Saccharomyces cerevisiae S288C: one gene and its partners. The protein of the gene in region 3 binds, or shares a complex with, the protein of the main gene of each other region. Each region holds a gene or a part of one and is shown on either strand. Other genes may lie near its edges. A codon is read from its position in the direction of its gene.

Region 1 (3,442 bases), on a different chromosome or scaffold from region 3:
TATAAGACCCGTCCGGTTGAAAAGATAATTGAACAGCCGTAAACCTAATTACAGGAATCGCTCTCAATTGGTAAGATTTACACGATTAGAGCTTGACTTTTGGCAGAGTTTGTCACAGTCCACGTTTTGTTTGGCGCCCTGGGGTCCTTTTCATAAAATATCGTTTACTACCGATTCGGAATTAATATAATCTGAGGGCCCCGAAAATGGCTTAGTTACACATATTATAACCAGTCTAATTAAAAAAGCAAGCACCTAGGACGGCATGTTAATGTATGGAAGAAGAGTATGAATTTGCAGGAGAGTGAGACAACCAAACTATCCAGTTATAGAAACTTATAAAGTGAAGCTTTTGTTATATAGTACAACGCATCGTATATTCCTCAAAGCAATAATACAGAAGTAGCGCAGCAGAATGATATTTTGAATTAAATTAAATACACACATGGCGCCAACTAAGGTTGGAAGGGAAAGAAGGACGACCAATATTATGTCTTTCCTTAGGTCCATTTTAAATTTTTAATATACCCGTTTGGTTCATGAGGTTTATCTCTATCTAGTCTTTGCTTAATGACAATACTATAGATACCGTAACTCAGTCCATCGTGTATAACGGTGGCTTCCGATCCCCATTCCCGCGATGTTATATCAAATCTTTTTACGCTAGGATACTTTTGTAGAGTAGGCAAAAACAACAACTCCACCTCTAGATCAAAAGGTGTGCCTTCCAGTAGGGGAAGGTTACCTGTAACATTATCTTGATTAGTTACATTTACAGGGGTTCTTCTCAATTTGTGAAATGAGCCACCAGAAGGCGCTCCAATTTTGAACCCGCAATGTCTTAAAACTAGTATTGGGTCTGAGTCATCAGAATAGATATCACATCCCCATATCTCATTATTTCTCTTTCTAGGAGATTCTATATTATTGAAACTTGCCTGAATATCTTCATATGTTATTTTTAGCGTTGCAATATTATTGATATTTTGAATACCGATAGCTGGAAGGAACGGTGGTGGAAGAGTGTTGTCATAAAGGTTGTATGGAAAACTGTGCCTGTCTGAGTAACTTGTGGAGTCTTCATCAAAAGACCCTTCTTTGAAACGATTGTAATAAAGTGTACCCAAGTTTTTTAACTTGTTTGGATAGTGTTTCTCAGTGAAAGCAAGAACCGACTGTGAACTTACATTAGGCAGGTCGTAGGCCGAATTTCTGCCGTTTTGGTAATGCATATACTGCTCTGGAAAAGAATGGGTGTTGCTTTCTTGTCCCTCCTCTTGCTTATTTTTTGTTCTCGCCGAATTTAGTAGTGTTTCCTGTAGTTTATATATCTGGGATTGAGTCTCTCTGTACGCCCTATTAGGATCTTGTTCGCTTACCGACATTTTTATCTTATATTGTATTGTTACTTCTCTCAAAAAAAAAACTGCGAGTAAATTTTCCCTTACCTTCGTACTAAAATACCGTTATTTGTCAAAACGCTGTCATGGAATTCTATAGCACTTGATGCCGGAATGGAGATGCTTATTCTTGTGTTCTACATTCATGAAGTGCTGATACTATATTTTGTTTTCCCGAACCTCTCCCCTTCTGGGCCCTTTTTCCATTATTCACAATATTTTCATACCTTTACCTCCGTACACCAATCTTTATTTTTACCCCCATACCTTTGTATTCTGAAATTGAGAAATGATTTGTGGTGCTTTTTTTTTTGGACAATCTGCCTTCGTGGACAGTTTTGAAACGCTAGGCGACAGTTTTGCAACGGAAGGAAGTGGGAGAGCCCAGAAAGGCTTTCTCTCGATGGTGGATCATTCTTGCGCAGGCGGAGGATGGGAAAGCTCCGTTCAGGTTTGCGGCTTTTCTTTCTGGCATTTTCGTTCTCCCAACTGCGCAGGCAGACATAGCTTGACTTTACTCATGCTCGCATTAGGCGGGTTGAATCTCATAGCTTGAAAGATAGTATTGAATTATATTGAAGATTTTATAACTAGTGATAATTTCATTCAAGTTTTAAAGAAAGAATTAATAAGCAAACAGAACTCAATCAAAGGAAAAATGGCCGGTTTGAAAGACGTTGTCACTCGTGAATACACCATTAACTTGCACAAAAGAGTATGTGAAAGAATAAAAATATAATGCCCAAGGGCTTGTCATCTGAATGGTTAATTAAGAAGATATTTCTATAGTCAAGGAATACAATATCAAGAATTTGTACCACAGAAACCTATCAACAAAGATCATTGATCAAGATATATTTTATAATACGGAATTTGAAGACCATAATCAATATTATAACATCCAAGAGGGGAAAGATACACTTCGGCTGGACTTAAAGAGCGATGAAGACAGAAATAGTTATCTTAAATAGTGGAATCCTAGATTTTAAGTCGACAATTATCCATATCCCAAGTTTGACTAAATATGAATCAGAACAAATTGGGTCTCCAATATACAAAACCATTCATCAAGATTACACTAATATTAAAATGAACAATCGTTACTAACAAAAAATTTACCATTTTATTTTTAATAGTTGCACGGTGTCTCCTTCAAGAAGAGAGCTCCAAGAGCTGTCAAGGAAATTAAGAAGTTCGCCAAGTTACACATGGGTACTGATGATGTCCGTCTAGCTCCAGAATTGAACCAAGCTATCTGGAAGAGAGGTGTCAAGGGTGTTGAATACAGATTAAGATTGAGAATTTCCAGAAAGAGAAACGAAGAAGAAGACGCCAAGAACCCATTGTTCTCCTACGTTGAACCTGTCTTAGTTGCTTCTGCCAAGGGTCTACAAACTGTTGTTGTCGAAGAAGATGCTTAAATCAATTAAATAAAAATAATACTCATTTTATATTAATAAATATAAAGTAAACATTTTCGATTTGTATAAATCTCTTGTACTCAAGCCAAGACTTCTGTATTCATTGAAGCGGGGCACTCAGATCAATTTTTATCAATGATATCATCTGCTACGCTTGTACAAAGGGTTACCTTCGAATTATTTAAAAGATGCAAGTCTACGTATAAGTGAAGGCGATAAAAATGGATAAATCAGTGTAACTATGACTATAAGGTTATGTTGGCCACTCATCACATTAAAAGACTCCCAATATTCTCCAACAGAAACGAAGTATACCGTGCGTCTGATTATGGTCCACCAGAACGATGAGATCATAAAGACACAAAGTAAATGAGAAGTTTTACAATATTGAAAAAATACTGTAAAAGGATGGTCTTAAAAAGTAGTTTTGAAGTACTTCTGTTCTTAATAGACCAACGGAAAATTAAAATCTTCATCATTAAAAGTCCATAATTCATTCGCTTTCAGCAAAACATAGAGCAGCAAGAAGCTAAAGAAATGACAAGAACTATCGGCAGAGTGAACTCACTATACCATTAATCTTATCACCCGTTTATAAATCTATTCTTGTCCTTTCCAGTT
Region 2 (3,491 bases), on a different chromosome or scaffold from region 3:
AGATACAACATGTTCCATGATATGGAAAAACGTATACCAGTGCTACAAACCCTGTTAACAATTAAATTCTTATTACTTCTTGCACAAAGATGCTAACACTTTACAGCTTTGAAAGTAACAGGAAGAAGTGATGCTGTGACAATTAACAGGGTATTTTTTTTTTCACTTCTACTTAAATCGGAGTTACAATTTATGATAAAAAAATCAAGAAAAAAACCTGATTATGCTAAGAAAGTAGAGGCGACGATGACCACCTATGGCCTAACCTAACTATGAACAGATGGTAGGCTCTAAATTGCGTGCCTGAAATCTGCGGATTTGATATGTAGGCGATGTTTTGGGTATTTTCCACCAACTTTATTGGCAAGGGAAGAATTCGATGACCCGAATTCGCCAAACGACAAAAACTGGAGGAGTGACCTATTGTTAACGTTTTTTTTTTTTTTTTAAAGGCATTGTCATCAACAGGACATCTGTATAAGAGGCTAAGACAATTACGCACACAACGCTTTTATTAGTTGTCATAAACTGTGTAGATTAGCAGCAGACACTCCTTTTTTTCTTCATACTATAGCAATGCCACCTCTACCCGTGCTCAACAGACCTCAAATTCATACGTCTGTTACTGAAATAAGTCATGCAATTGATCGTACAATCAAGGAAGAGCTCTTTCCCGTTGCCTACACTACTGAAGAAGAGCAATATTTCAAAACTAACCCTAAACCTGCCTATATCGATGAATTGATTAAGGACGCTAAAGAGTTTATTGATTTGCAGTATTCCCTGAAAAGGAACAAAATAGTTCTTATCACCTCTGGTGGTACTACTGTTCCATTGGAAAACAATACAGTACGTTTTATCGATAATTTTTCTGCAGGTACTCGTGGTGCATCGAGTGCTGAACAGTTCTTAGCGAACGGATATAGTGTTATTTTCTTACATAGGGAATTCTCATTAACTCCGTATAATAGGTCCTTCTCCCATAGCATTAATACTTTATTCTTGGACTACATTGATTCTGAAGGTAAAATCAAACCTGAATTTGCTGAGAATGTTTTGAAGAACAAAAAGCTTTATGACAAGTATATGGAGAAAGAGGAGAAACTACTTTTACTACCATTCACCACGGTCAACCAATACTTATGGTCACTGAAAAGTATAGCCAAGCTATTGAATAATAGTGGTTGCTTGTTTTATTTAGCTGCTGCTGTCAGTGATTTTTTTGTTCCATATTCAAGACTACCTCAGCACAAGATTCAATCAGGAGACAACGGTAAGATGGGAGCAAATAATGACACTGAAGGTACAACTAGGACTACGCCTGATGGTAAACTGATTGTGAATCTTGACCCTGTCCCTAAGTTTTTGAGAAGATTAGTGGAATCATGGGCCACTCAAGCGATGATCGTTTCGTTCAAATTAGAAACTGATGAATCCATGCTGCTTTACAAATGTACACAAGCCCTGGATAGATACAACCATCAACTGGTTATCGGAAACCTTTTACAGACAAGAAACAAACAGGTCATTTTCGTATCCCCTGAAAACAGAAAGGGAGATTGGGTACGTTTGGATGAAAAACACCATAGCATTGAAGAGATGATAATCCCAGAAGTCATCGCACGCCATGACAAATGGGTGGCGCATTCGAAAACTAAGCTAGCTACGAAATAAAACATAGCTCTTGTCTGTAATCAAAAAAATTTGCGTCAAAAAAAAAAATTAGATGTATGTAAACCTTTTTATTGAACTGAAAATTTATCTTTTATCAAATCTTTTTCTTCTATGCCTTAATTATGTTTTCAGGTATCTTTTTTCTCATTATTTAATTTAGCTTATGTATTGATCATTTCGCTTGAGATTTCAGGAAGAAAAAACGCAAACAATTTTTCAGCTAAAATGAACCCTTGGAAAAGCTTTAAGAGAACAAGAGAAACTGTAGAGCTCAGTGTGCATTGTCTTCAAGATTGATGGCTATTCAAAAGGTTAGTAACAAGGACTTGTCCCGCAAGGACAAAAGAAGATTTAATATCGAATCTAAAGTTAATAAGATTTATCAAAATTTTTACTCAGAAAGAGATAATCAATATAAAGATAGACTGACAGCATTGCAAACGGATTTAACTTCTCTGCATCAAGGTGATAATGGCCAATATGCCCGCCAAGTACGAGATTTGGAGGAAGAAAGAGATCTAGAGTTAGTCAGGTTGCGCCTGTTTGAAGAGTACCGTGTTTCTCGTTCCGGTATCGAATTTCAAGAAGATATTGAAAAGGCTAAGGCTGAACACGAGAAACTCATTAAATTATGCAAAGAAAGACTGTATTCGTCTATAGAGCAAAAAATAAAGAAATTACAGGAGGAGAGGTTACTAATGGATGTGGCCAATGTGCACTCCTATGCCATGAATTATAGCAGACCGCAATACCAGAAGAACACGAGAAGTCACACAGTAAGTGGTTGGGATTCTTCGTCCAACGAATATGGAAGAGATACAGCAAACGAAAGTGCTACTGACACGGGAGCTGGAAACGATAGAAGAACGCTAAGGAGAAGGAATGCTTCTAAAGACACGAGAGGTAACAACAACAATCAAGATGAATCTGATTTTCAAACTGGTAATGGTTCTGGAAGTAATGGCCATGGTTCTAGACAAGGGTCGCAATTCCCCCATTTCAACAACCTAACCTACAAGTCAGGCATGAACTCTGACTCAGATTTTCTACAAGGTATAAATGAAGGTACTGATCTATATGCATTTTTGTTTGGCGAAAAGAACCCCAAAGACAATGCTAATGGGAATGAAAAGAAAAAAAACCGTGGTGCTCAACGATATTCCACCAAAACAGCTCCACCTTTACAGTCTTTGAAACCAGATGAGGTCACAGAGGATATTTCCTTGATCAGAGAATTAACAGGTCAGCCTCCGGCTCCTTTCAGACTAAGGTCTGACTAATTTATTTTATGCTGCAAACCTTCCACTTTAACTTTGTATTATATTACATTAGATGGTTATATTTCAATGTGAGCTCTTTTTGTTTTTGCTTTCTTTTCTCGGATACAAGTGGAAAACGAAAAAAAAAAATTGGCTAAAATTTACTGTATACATCAGGCTAACAATCTGTGATTATAGGCACAGTTGTACCAAAGAAGGGCTAGAATATACATCATAATTAGATGCAATTAGCATGGCTATAAGATTGAATCCAAAAGTCAGAAGGTTCTTGCTGGATAAGTGTCGACAAAAACGATATGGTTTCCTCTTTTTAGGATGTATCTTCGCCATACTTTACTGTATGGGGACCTGGCCATTTTTCGCAAAAGATATTGTACATGATCCAAATAATTTGCCTTATTCCTTACAGGATTATTCGACTGACAAAGACGAGCCATTTTTCCGGGGCTGCACTGATACAAAGCTGTACTTGCAAAATCCTGCTTACTCCAAAATGAACGCATCTTTCGTTATGCTAACGAGAAACGAAGAAATAGA
Region 3 (3,353 bases):
ATTCTTCTGTTTTGGAGTTTGACTCCATAGAGGAAATTCCAAATGAGAGAAAGTCCAATATTAAGGAGCAAATCCATAGCATAACGAACGACGTTTTCTTAGCTGCTGTAAATGTAAATAGATTAAACTTCCAACCGTTACCAAACGCATTTGAAACATATGGCGTAGACTTTTTGATTGATTCGAATTACGAAGTTAAATTACTAGAGATCAACGCTTTCCCAGACTTCAAACAAACTGGGAAAGATTTGAAGAACCTCATTGATGAATTATTTGATGACACTGTCAAATACTGTGTTACCCCCATCTTTAACGAGAATAGAAATAAGACAGATGATGAAACAGACCCGAACTTCGTAAAAGTCATTGATTACACTTCAAACGGTTGGTGAAACAAAAAAAAAAAAAGAACCCATCCTAAAATACTGTTATTATTACTAAATAGTGCTAAATAATACATATGCCTTGATTTTATTTCCGAAATTTTTTGTTTTGTCAATTTAGGCTCTATTAGCTTCTTCATCAGGTTCATTATCGTCTACAACACCGTCTTCCATGGTATTTTCAATTTCTTCCTCAAAATTTGTTGTCTTATTTGTTGTAGCACTGATCAGACCTCTCTTCACAACACGTAGAGCCACCGGGATAGTAATATCATCGTCAGATATACCCAAATATTCCCGACTCCAATTTAAAATCCTACCTCTTATTCTATTGGCTTTTATTACAGACTTTCTGATTTTTTGTAAGTTTCTTATGAATTCTTTATTCCTCTGTAGTGCAATCTGCGACAGCTGTCGGGCAGACTCAATTTCCTCATTTAACTGTTGTTGTTCGGCCGCTGTTAATGTTGATATAGAAGCAGAACCGGAAGAAGATGGCAGCAACGATAACAGCGCATTAGATTGTTCCAACCTTGGCAATGCAAAAAAAGGATCTTCCTCTCCAAATTCTTCCATGCCATTATTGATATGACCAGCTTCAGTAGACAAACTATTCGAGTTAACCTCGTTGATATTGTTTTTGTTGTTAATGTCATCCTCGTCGCTTGCCCCTCTATCCTCTGGAAGGGTCAAATTGTGATTATAAGATGGTAGGTTCAAGTTAGATTCATAAATTGGTTCAGGATGATCTCCTAAAAAAACCTCCAAAAACTGGGAATATCTAACAACTGACATCTGTTCTTTTTCAATCATTAGAATTATTTGCAAGGCTAAATTTTTCAAAATTGGGCTTGAAAATGTCCTTGAGATAGTTTTATGATTTATTATATCCCCTAGGGAAAGAATGGGAGTCAAAATCTCCTTTACATTCACTAGTTTTGATAGGTCGTCATCGTCTTCTTCGCCGTAATACTCATCAGTGATATTTTCGTCTTCCTTCTCACTACCATCGATGTCGTTTTCATCACCGACTAAAACAGGCTCGACGTTGATGTCAGGTGTGAATTTTATTCTTTTGCGTCTACTATCAGTGACAATATTTGTTTGCAGAAGGCGATGCTCCGAACCGTTATAGAACACAGTTTGCTCAATCATTGGCTTAGAATTGTTCAAGTCTCTTCTTGTTACTACTTCGCTTCTCTGCAAAAGTTTGTTACCTCTGTTAGAGGATATGCCAGTGGCCTCAGGATAGATTAGTTTTCCATCAAGGGATCTTTTCAGTACCTGATAGTTACCGCTTTTTTCCTTTATTATCCTTCTAGTAAATGTGCTAATTATATTCGATTCATTAGCTAACACACTCTTGCTTTCCAATTCTGCGTTGTTTTTCATACTGCTCCTAATAGTCATCTCGATCAACAAGAAGCAACAGCTGAGATATTTGTTTCTCAACCTCTTTTTTGCAGGAGATGCTGTCATCAAGCAACGTTTCTTCTATTTGAAAGCGATTGTTTTACCAGAACAAAGTTCGCTACCCGGCTTCGGTCCTCTTGGGTATAGGAGACAATAATGATCTTCGAATAACGCCGTTATAAAGTGAACATTATAATTATCCGCTTAAAGGCTTTTTAGTAATTTTGTAAAACAATTGCTTCTAATTTCAAGACTTCCAAAAGGTTTCTCGAGTAACTAGTGCTTTCCAATATCTACAACAAAATAAAATAATAGAATAATGGGTGTTTGCACTATTTTTAGGTGGCTCTTTGCTGCTTACTTGCTCTCTTCATATAAGTCGCTTCCTGGGGCATATTTTGTTAGGTTTTATTATTATGTTATTCAAAACTTGTTCTTGCCTATGTTTACAGGGTTTGAAACCGAGAATATTAAGAAACTTGAGAAAAATGAATATGGCTGTTTCTCGTACACCAGCCTAGATACCTATGCCTCTCCATTCGAATGTGACTTCTACTTTCATAAGAGCAATAGCACCTATTTTGCGGAATTGGACATTTCAAGAGGTAATCTCATGTGCAAGATTTTTCAAAAATTGATGCTGAATTCCAAGCATTATCCATATATTCCAGTTGCGAACGTTTTCACTAATTTCTTGAAGGAAATCAAGCCTTTTCAAAAGTACTCGGTTTCATCAAGGATTATCTGTTGGGATGAGAAATGGATTTACGTCATGAGTAGATTCACAATTAAAAAGGGCACCGTCTTATGCTCATTATCATTGACCAAATACGTCCTTAAGGACGGTAGAAAGACCATCAAACCAAAGGATGCTCTTGAATACTGTGGTTTATATAATGAGAAGGTCGCCAAAATTTCTGAGGACAATCTAAAGCTTTTAACCGAGCGTTGTGGTTTCCACGAGACAGTACCATTGGAAAACTTGAGCCAAGAGTACTGTTCAGAAATCTAACTTCTATACACATATAGCCGGTATTATAAAATATATAAATCTATCTTCTTTCAAAAGTTTCTCTGTGCAGTCTGCGTTATATTTTATCTTCGGTAGAAAACAAGGTAAATTTCCCTTATTTTTCAACATCATAAAAATGAAAAACAGATATATCTTAAGTAAGATACTTAAGCAGACAAGTTGAATTGGAGAAATACAAAAGCTGTAAGGTTATCAAAAAGGAAGGCATACAGTATAATGGGGGCACAATTATCACTAGTGGTCCAAGCATCACCTTCCATAGCCATTTTTTCATATATCGATGTCTTAGAGGAAGTACACTACGTTTCACAGTTAAACTCATCAAGATTCTTAAAAACATGCAAGGCACTGGACCCTAACGGCGAAATTGTTATCAAAGTGTTTATTAAACCAAAAGACCAATATAGCTTACGACCTTTTCTCCAACGTATAAGGGCTCAATCGTTTAAGTTGGGACAACTACCGCACGTTTTAAACTACAGTAAATTGATCGAGACAAATAGAGCCGGCTACATGATACGGCA
Region 4 (7,098 bases), on a different chromosome or scaffold from region 3:
CCTCCTCTTCTTCTTCTTCTCGTTTCTTTTTTTCGTTCTCCTGTTCTTCCTTTTTAGTTGTTTTTACCTTTACATCACCATCTTCTTTCTTGATTTTTTTAGGCTTTGATGTCGCGCTTTTCTTTGCTGGAGGCGATGGTAATGACGACGATTGCACTGGTTCGGTCTTTATTTTCTTAGTCTTTTTCTTGGAAATCTTAGAGATTGCCTCATCACTATCATAAGGTTCCGCTTCGTCTTGAAGAGAGGCAGAGTTCATGGACGCCACCTTTCTTTTTTTTAAAGTTTGAGATAATGGCACATCGTCATCGTCATCAGAAGACAACTCATGATTAACTTTGGAAGCATCAGCAATAGTCATTTTTACGCGTTTCAAGTTTCGAGCTCTGCCCTCCCTTTAGATTTTTTTTATTTGCTGTTTTAATACTATAAGAATAGGACTCAGGTAATTAGAGTAACAGAGAAAACAAAAAAGAATATTGCGCTCGTGTTAGTGTTGAAACAAAAAAATACAGTTGTTCTTTACGTGCATCGATCATATAAGAAAAGGGAAAAAAGCCGTAAAGTAAAAAAATAAAGAGCTTTCCATGGCTGGTTTTTTTTCTTTTTTTTTTTTTTTTTTGAAGACTACAGCAGGTATTACCCGGAGTGAAAAAGGTTTCTCACACTAAAATTTACGTGTTCAAGACATTGAAGTTATGTATAAATATATATGAGCGTATATTATGTGTATGTCCGTTTCCATTCTGTTTAGATTTTATGGCTATAGTATTAAACTCCTATATATCAAAATGCGTCGTCGGCGGCTAGAGTTTGCAGGTTCCACTCGGTTTCGAAATTTGTCTTCAGGGCGCCAAGCTTGTTAATGATGCTGTTACAGGCGTTTTTCAAGGCATCCTTCGGGTCGTAGCCCTCGGTGGTCTGTATTCTCAGCTTGAAACGAGCGAAGAAGGGATGCTCAACCTTGTAAGCGGCAAACAGCACTTTTCTGTCGTTCAGAAGTTCTGCACGAATCAGGTTTCCCAACGTGTGGTCCTCCTTCTCAAACGTTATCACTACTGCGTTGGGGGCTTTGGTGTCGGGGTCAATCTTTAGCTTGGATTCCCCTTCACCCAGAAGGAACAGTTCGAATCTGTCTGGAGCATTCATGATGCAGTTGTGTCCAAATGTATCTGGTTTGGTGGCTACGTAGCTATCTATTTAGGCTGCACGGCTCAGTTCTCTCGCTCTTCTTTTAACGGACCTCTTGTGTGTGCCAAAGCAGTGAACCTAGAATTTTCGCGGACACTTCCACTTTATTAAGTCCGGGTAATGATAATATTGAGCTTGCAAGTTTTTTGAACTCGGATAGCAGCATTATCCATGACATGACACGGATCTACCGACGAGGCTTACCGACGAGGCTTACCGACGAGGCTTACCGTGATCCCTCTCCAGTAGTCTGTAAATTCTGTTTATAATTTAAAAAATCTATCTTCTACTCCAGTCTTGTAACTACTGTTGTTACGCGCTGCCCAGAGTGTGGCACACACTGCGGGGTTACCCGTGTAACGTAGAATAAACCAGTACGGGTAATGATATCGGATTTTCTAGTGATTTTTTTCCATTCGCAAAAAAGTCGCCTTCATTTTGCAGTTCTTCAGCAAACGTGATTTGCAAAACAACGGTTACTCCCCTTCCCTATTACATTTGTCTTCCCTTTTTCGCACCAGCATTGCTAATATTCGAGGCACCGTACCTAACTAATCAGCTCATTCACGTACCACATATTCTTTGTTACTTCCCTCCCTCCACAACAGGCTACGCTATTGACCGCTTTCAGTATAGTCTCTTTACCCTTTTGTTGTGTTCGTTTGAGGTTATTTGGAAAAGGACAAAATATCTAAGAAACAAGTTATACATTGTACAAAAATGTCACAGGTTTGGCATAATTCGAATTCGCAATCAAACGATGTGGCTACTTCAAATGACGCTACGGGTTCCAACGAAAGAAACGAAAAAGAACCGTCCCTCCAGGGAAATAAGCCCGGTTTTGTTCAACAGCAGCAACGGATTACTTTACCCTCGCTATCTGCCTTGAGTACTAAGGAGGAAGATAGAAGAGATTCCAATGGCCAACAGGCTCTAACTTCTCATGCTGCTCACATATTAGGTTATCCTCCCCCACATTCAAATGCTATGCCCTCAATTGCAACTGATTCAGCATTGAAACAGCCCCACGAGTATCACCCTCGCCCTAAATCTTCGTCCTCTTCTCCCTCTATAAACGCTTCGCTTATGAATGCTGGTCCAGCTCCCCTCCCCACAGTGGGAGCCGCCAGTTTTTCTTTGTCGAGATTTGACAATCCATTACCGATAAAAGCTCCTGTTCATACAGAGGAACCAAAAAGTTATAATGGTCTTCAGGAAGAAGAAAAGGCGACGCAACGGCCTCAAGATTGCAAGGAAGTTCCCGCTGGTGTGCAGCCTGCTGATGCCCCTGACCCTAGCAGCAACCATGCAGATGCTAACGATGACAATAATAACAACGAAAATTCTCACGATGAAGATGCTGACTACAGACCTCTAAACGTGAAGGATGCCCTATCTTACCTCGAACAGGTCAAATTTCAATTTAGTTCGCGTCCGGATATCTATAATTTATTTTTAGATATTATGAAGGACTTTAAATCTCAGGCAATAGACACACCGGGCGTTATTGAAAGAGTATCCACTTTGTTCAGAGGTTATCCAATTTTGATTCAAGGGTTCAATACTTTTCTACCCCAAGGCTATAGAATCGAATGCTCCTCTAATCCGGACGACCCCATTAGAGTTACTACACCAATGGGTACTACGACAGTAAACAATAACATCAGTCCATCTGGTAGAGGTACAACGGATGCACAGGAACTTGGTTCTTTTCCAGAAAGCGATGGAAATGGTGTTCAACAGCCCTCCAATGTGCCAATGGTGCCTTCGAGTGTGTATCAATCGGAACAAAACCAAGACCAACAACAATCTTTGCCTCTTTTAGCTACTTCTTCTGGTTTACCTTCAATTCAACAACCTGAAATGCCTGCACATCGCCAAATCCCACAAAGTCAATCTTTAGTGCCTCAAGAAGATGCTAAGAAAAACGTTGATGTCGAATTTAGTCAAGCCATAAGCTACGTTAATAAAATTAAAACTAGATTTGCCGACCAACCTGATATTTACAAGCATTTTCTGGAAATACTACAAACTTATCAGCGAGAGCAAAAGCCAATAAACGAAGTCTACGCACAAGTGACGCATCTTTTCCAAAATGCTCCTGATTTACTAGAAGATTTCAAGAAATTCTTGCCGGACTCTTCAGCTTCTGCCAATCAGCAGGTGCAACATGCTCAGCAACATGCTCAACAACAACATGAGGCCCAAATGCATGCACAGGCACAAGCTCAGGCTCAGGCACAGGCACAGGTGGAACAACAGAAGCAGCAACAGCAATTCTTGTATCCAGCTTCGGGCTATTACGGCCATCCTTCTAACCGAGGTATTCCACAGCAAAACTTGCCTCCTATAGGAAGCTTCTCGCCTCCAACAAACGGTTCGACCGTACATGAAGCCTATCAGGATCAACAGCACATGCAACCACCCCACTTCATGCCCTTACCATCGATCGTTCAACACGGGCCAAATATGGTACATCAAGGGATAGCGAATGAAAATCCACCTCTATCAGATCTAAGAACGTCTCTCACTGAACAGTACGCTCCTTCTAGTATACAACATCAGCAGCAGCACCCGCAAAGTATTAGTCCTATAGCAAATACGCAGTATGGTGATATCCCTGTTAGACCGGAAATTGATTTAGATCCTAGCATTGTGCCTGTGGTCCCTGAACCCACTGAGCCCATCGAAAACAATATATCGCTTAATGAGGAAGTCACTTTCTTCGAAAAGGCCAAGAGGTATATCGGCAATAAACATTTATACACTGAGTTTTTGAAAATTTTAAATTTGTACTCTCAAGATATACTTGATCTTGACGATTTAGTGGAAAAGGTAGATTTCTACTTGGGTTCCAATAAAGAACTATTTACGTGGTTCAAAAACTTTGTTGGCTACCAAGAAAAAACCAAATGTATCGAGAATATTGTTCATGAAAAACATAGATTGGATTTAGATTTATGTGAGGCATTTGGCCCAAGTTACAAGAGGCTACCAAAAAGTGACACTTTCATGCCATGCTCAGGTAGGGATGATATGTGTTGGGAAGTCTTGAACGATGAATGGGTTGGACATCCTGTATGGGCTTCCGAAGATTCGGGATTTATTGCTCATCGTAAAAACCAGTATGAGGAAACACTATTCAAGATCGAAGAGGAAAGACATGAGTATGATTTTTACATTGAATCAAATTTAAGAACTATTCAATGTTTGGAAACAATTGTAAATAAGATCGAGAACATGACTGAGAATGAAAAAGCCAATTTTAAACTGCCTCCAGGTCTTGGCCATACTTCAATGACTATTTATAAAAAAGTGATAAGGAAAGTTTATGATAAGGAAAGGGGGTTCGAGATTATTGATGCTTTGCATGAGCACCCTGCAGTGACAGCCCCAGTCGTTCTGAAAAGGTTAAAGCAAAAAGACGAAGAATGGAGAAGAGCTCAACGTGAATGGAATAAAGTTTGGAGGGAGTTAGAACAGAAGGTTTTTTTCAAGTCATTAGATCATTTAGGCTTAACATTTAAACAGGCTGACAAGAAATTATTAACTACAAAGCAGTTGATATCAGAGATTAGCAGCATCAAAGTTGATCAAACAAACAAAAAAATTCACTGGTTAACTCCTAAACCAAAGAGCCAGTTAGATTTTGATTTCCCTGATAAAAACATTTTCTATGATATCTTGTGTTTGGCTGACACTTTTATAACCCATACCACAGCCTATTCTAATCCCGATAAAGAAAGATTGAAAGATTTACTAAAATACTTCATCTCTTTGTTTTTTTCTATTTCTTTCGAAAAAATCGAAGAATCGTTGTACTCCCATAAGCAAAACGTGTCAGAATCTAGCGGATCTGACGATGGCAGTTCTATTGCATCAAGGAAGAGGCCCTATCAACAAGAAATGAGTTTACTTGATATTTTACACAGGAGCAGATATCAAAAGCTAAAGCGTTCTAATGATGAAGATGGCAAAGTTCCCCAGCTCTCTGAACCACCCGAAGAAGAACCTAATACCATTGAGGAGGAAGAGCTCATCGATGAAGAAGCTAAAAATCCGTGGCTAACTGGGAATTTAGTGGAGGAAGCAAACTCTCAGGGTATTATCCAAAATCGCAGTATTTTTAATCTATTCGCTAATACGAATATTTACATATTTTTCCGTCATTGGACAACGATTTATGAGCGGCTTTTGGAAATTAAGCAAATGAATGAAAGGGTCACAAAGGAAATCAACACAAGGTCGACAGTTACTTTTGCCAAAGATCTAGATTTATTATCGAGTCAACTTTCCGAAATGGGACTAGATTTTGTTGGTGAAGACGCGTACAAACAGGTTTTAAGACTGAGTAGAAGGTTGATTAATGGGGATCTTGAACATCAGTGGTTTGAAGAGAGTTTGCGGCAAGCTTACAATAACAAAGCGTTTAAACTCTATACAATTGATAAAGTCACCCAATCGTTGGTAAAGCATGCTCATACCTTGATGACTGACGCTAAAACTGCGGAAATAATGGCTTTGTTCGTTAAAGATAGAAATGCCTCCACCACGAGTGCGAAGGACCAAATTATCTATCGCTTGCAGGTGCGCTCACATATGTCCAACACAGAAAATATGTTTAGAATAGAGTTTGATAAAAGAACTCTGCATGTTTCCATTCAATATATTGCACTTGATGATTTGACACTAAAGGAACCAAAGGCAGACGAAGATAAATGGAAATATTATGTAACATCGTATGCTCTGCCACATCCAACAGAAGGCATTCCGCACGAGAAACTGAAGATACCATTTTTGGAAAGGCTCATCGAATTTGGACAAGATATTGATGGAACAGAGGTAGATGAGGAGTTTTCCCCCGAAGGCATCTCTGTATCGACATTGAAAATTAAGATCCAGCCTATAACCTACCAACTGCATATTGAAAACGGGTCTTACGATGTTTTTACCCGTAAGGCTACTAACAAATATCCTACTATTGCTAATGATAATACTCAAAAAGGAATGGTTTCTCAGAAGAAGGAGTTGATATCAAAATTTCTAGACTGTGCAGTTGGTTTGAGAAATAATTTAGATGAGGCTCAAAAATTAAGTATGCAAAAAAAATGGGAGAACCTAAAAGACAGCATAGCAAAGACGAGTGCTGGAAACCAGGGAATAGAGAGTGAAACCGAAAAAGGTAAAATTACGAAACAGGAGCAGTCGGATAATTTGGACAGCTCTACTGCAAGTGTACTGCCTGCATCCATTACTACTGTACCACAAGATGATAATATAGAAACGACTGGGAATACTGAATCTTCAGACAAGGGGGCTAAGATTCAATAAGTAGTTTTAACTAGATTTAGAACAAAAATCTTTAGTACGACAGGGTCTTTCTTCTGATGTGTACCTTTAATTAATGTCAACGATATAACATTGTAATTTTAAAATTCTAAGTGTTTTTGAAGCTTTTTAAGACACATCGATCTTTCCATAAAGGAAGAAGTGATAACATGCAGTGGTTATATTTGTGTACTCATACACTGGTGCATGAATCTTTTTACACGTCATTAGCATAGTATGTAATCGAAAGGACACTATTTATAAGGGACAGTTTATACATACATATACTTGATATTCCCATGAATGAGTATTCTATTCCATATCAACATCCACTCCAAAATCGTCTAGTGATTCACCCCAGTCGTTGTACCACTTCTCACGAGAAGCATGTCTGCCATTTTGAGGAAGTCTGGTCCTTATTAGCTGTTCGCCACTTTCATTACGCATCTCTATTGTTGAGCTGCCATGATTGAAGACGGTGTTTGTTTTACCTCCATCTGGTGGCCAGGGAAGTGAAAGGATGTGGTCTTCCAATGAGGAGTTAGCCTCATATTTTGAAATACCGTTTTTTGGAAAATT

What was found.
Region 1: the proteins of RXT2 (region 3) and RXT3 are in contact, whole or in part, in a cryo-EM structure (PDB 8GA8), measured with the Saccharomyces cerevisiae proteins. Residues at the interface, in NP_009653.2 of Saccharomyces cerevisiae: Tyr54 (codon at 1,634), Ser62 (codon at 1,610), Asn63 (codon at 1,607), Arg64 (codon at 1,604), Gly65 (codon at 1,601), Lys67 (codon at 1,595), Leu68 (codon at 1,592), Ser72 (codon at 1,580), Glu73 (codon at 1,577), Val74 (codon at 1,574), Val75 (codon at 1,571), Thr76 (codon at 1,568), Arg77 (codon at 1,565); in NP_010207.1 of Saccharomyces cerevisiae: Pro125 (codon at 1,013), Leu127 (codon at 1,007), Pro128 (codon at 1,004), Ala129 (codon at 1,001), Arg161 (codon at 905), Asn162 (codon at 902), Glu164 (codon at 896), Trp166 (codon at 890), Ser172 (codon at 872), Asp173 (codon at 869), Asp174 (codon at 866), Tyr239 (codon at 671), Arg250 (codon at 638), Trp252 (codon at 632), Ala256 (codon at 620), Thr257 (codon at 617), Val258 (codon at 614), Ile259 (codon at 611), His260 (codon at 608), Asp261 (codon at 605), Gly262 (codon at 602).
Region 2: RXT2 (region 3) and SDS3 share a complex: the UniProt entries of both Saccharomyces cerevisiae proteins name them as parts of the RPD3C(L) complex.
Region 4: the proteins of RXT2 (region 3) and SIN3 are in contact, whole or in part, in a cryo-EM structure (PDB 8HPO), measured with the Saccharomyces cerevisiae proteins. Residues at the interface, in NP_009653.2 of Saccharomyces cerevisiae: Glu22 (codon at 1,730), Ile25 (codon at 1,721), Ile26 (codon at 1,718), Ser27 (codon at 1,715), Thr28 (codon at 1,712), Phe29 (codon at 1,709), Thr30 (codon at 1,706), Arg31 (codon at 1,703), Arg32 (codon at 1,700), Ile33 (codon at 1,697), Ile34 (codon at 1,694), Lys35 (codon at 1,691), Lys37 (codon at 1,685), Ser38 (codon at 1,682), Tyr41 (codon at 1,673), Pro55 (codon at 1,631), Glu56 (codon at 1,628), Thr58 (codon at 1,622), Gly59 (codon at 1,619), Ile60 (codon at 1,616), Leu69 (codon at 1,589), Arg77 (codon at 1,565), Arg78 (codon at 1,562), Met86 (codon at 1,538), Glu88 (codon at 1,532), Tyr93 (codon at 1,517), Asn94 (codon at 1,514), Arg99 (codon at 1,499), Leu101 (codon at 1,493), Gln102 (codon at 1,490); in NP_014639.1 of Saccharomyces cerevisiae: Pro650 (codon at 3,859), Thr653 (codon at 3,868), Glu654 (codon at 3,871), Ile656 (codon at 3,877), Asn658 (codon at 3,883), Asn659 (codon at 3,886), Ile660 (codon at 3,889), Ser661 (codon at 3,892), Leu662 (codon at 3,895), Glu665 (codon at 3,904), Phe669 (codon at 3,916), Tyr682 (codon at 3,955), Leu686 (codon at 3,967), Leu689 (codon at 3,976), Asn690 (codon at 3,979), Tyr692 (codon at 3,985), Ser693 (codon at 3,988), Asp695 (codon at 3,994), Leu702 (codon at 4,015), Phe720 (codon at 4,069), Phe723 (codon at 4,078), Val724 (codon at 4,081), Arg742 (codon at 4,135), Trp788 (codon at 4,273), His798 (codon at 4,303), Arg799 (codon at 4,306), Lys800 (codon at 4,309), Gln802 (codon at 4,315), Glu805 (codon at 4,324), Thr806 (codon at 4,327).

Annotation. Positions count from the first base shown.
Region 1 is NC_001136.10:320,168-323,609, forward strand, and holds RXT3 (Rxt3p), read right to left. Parts: upstream 1,386-3,442; coding exon 501-1,385; downstream 1-500. Other genes in the region: 60S ribosomal protein eL31 RPL31A, read left to right, coding at 2,059-2,115, 2,537-2,821. UniProt on the Saccharomyces cerevisiae protein: Component of the RPD3C(L) histone deacetylase complex (HDAC) responsible for the deacetylation of lysine residues on the N-terminal part of the core histones (H2A, H2B, H3 and H4).
Region 2 is NC_001141.2:201,739-205,229, reverse strand, and holds SDS3 (Sds3p), read left to right. Parts: upstream 1-1,970; coding exon 1,971-2,954; downstream 2,955-3,491. Other genes in the region: phosphopantothenate--cysteine ligase CAB2, read left to right, coding at 577-1,674; KTR7 (putative mannosyltransferase), read left to right, coding at 3,187-3,491. UniProt on the Saccharomyces cerevisiae protein: Component of the RPD3C(L) histone deacetylase complex (HDAC) responsible for the deacetylation of lysine residues on the N-terminal part of the core histones (H2A, H2B, H3 and H4).
Region 3 is NC_001134.8:433,906-437,258, forward strand, and holds RXT2 (Rxt2p), read right to left. Parts: upstream 1,794-3,353; coding exon 501-1,793; downstream 1-500. Other genes in the region: PBY1 (putative tubulin tyrosine ligase), read left to right, coding at 1-392; YBR096W (uncharacterized protein), read left to right, coding at 2,116-2,808; ubiquitin-binding serine/threonine protein kinase VPS15, read left to right, coding at 3,046-3,353. UniProt on the Saccharomyces cerevisiae protein: Component of the RPD3C(L) histone deacetylase complex (HDAC) responsible for the deacetylation of lysine residues on the N-terminal part of the core histones (H2A, H2B, H3 and H4).
Region 4 is NC_001147.6:315,027-322,124, forward strand, and holds SIN3 (transcriptional regulator SIN3), read left to right. Parts: upstream 1-1,911; coding exon 1,912-6,522; downstream 6,523-7,098. Other genes in the region: TOP1 (DNA topoisomerase 1), read right to left, coding at 1-361; DNA-directed RNA polymerase II core subunit RPB11, read right to left, coding at 787-1,149; palmitoyltransferase PFA4, read right to left, coding at 6,832-7,098. UniProt on the Saccharomyces cerevisiae protein: Catalytic component of the RPD3 histone deacetylase complexes RPD3C(L) and RPD3C(S) responsible for the deacetylation of lysine residues on the N-terminal part of the core histones (H2A, H2B, H3 and H4).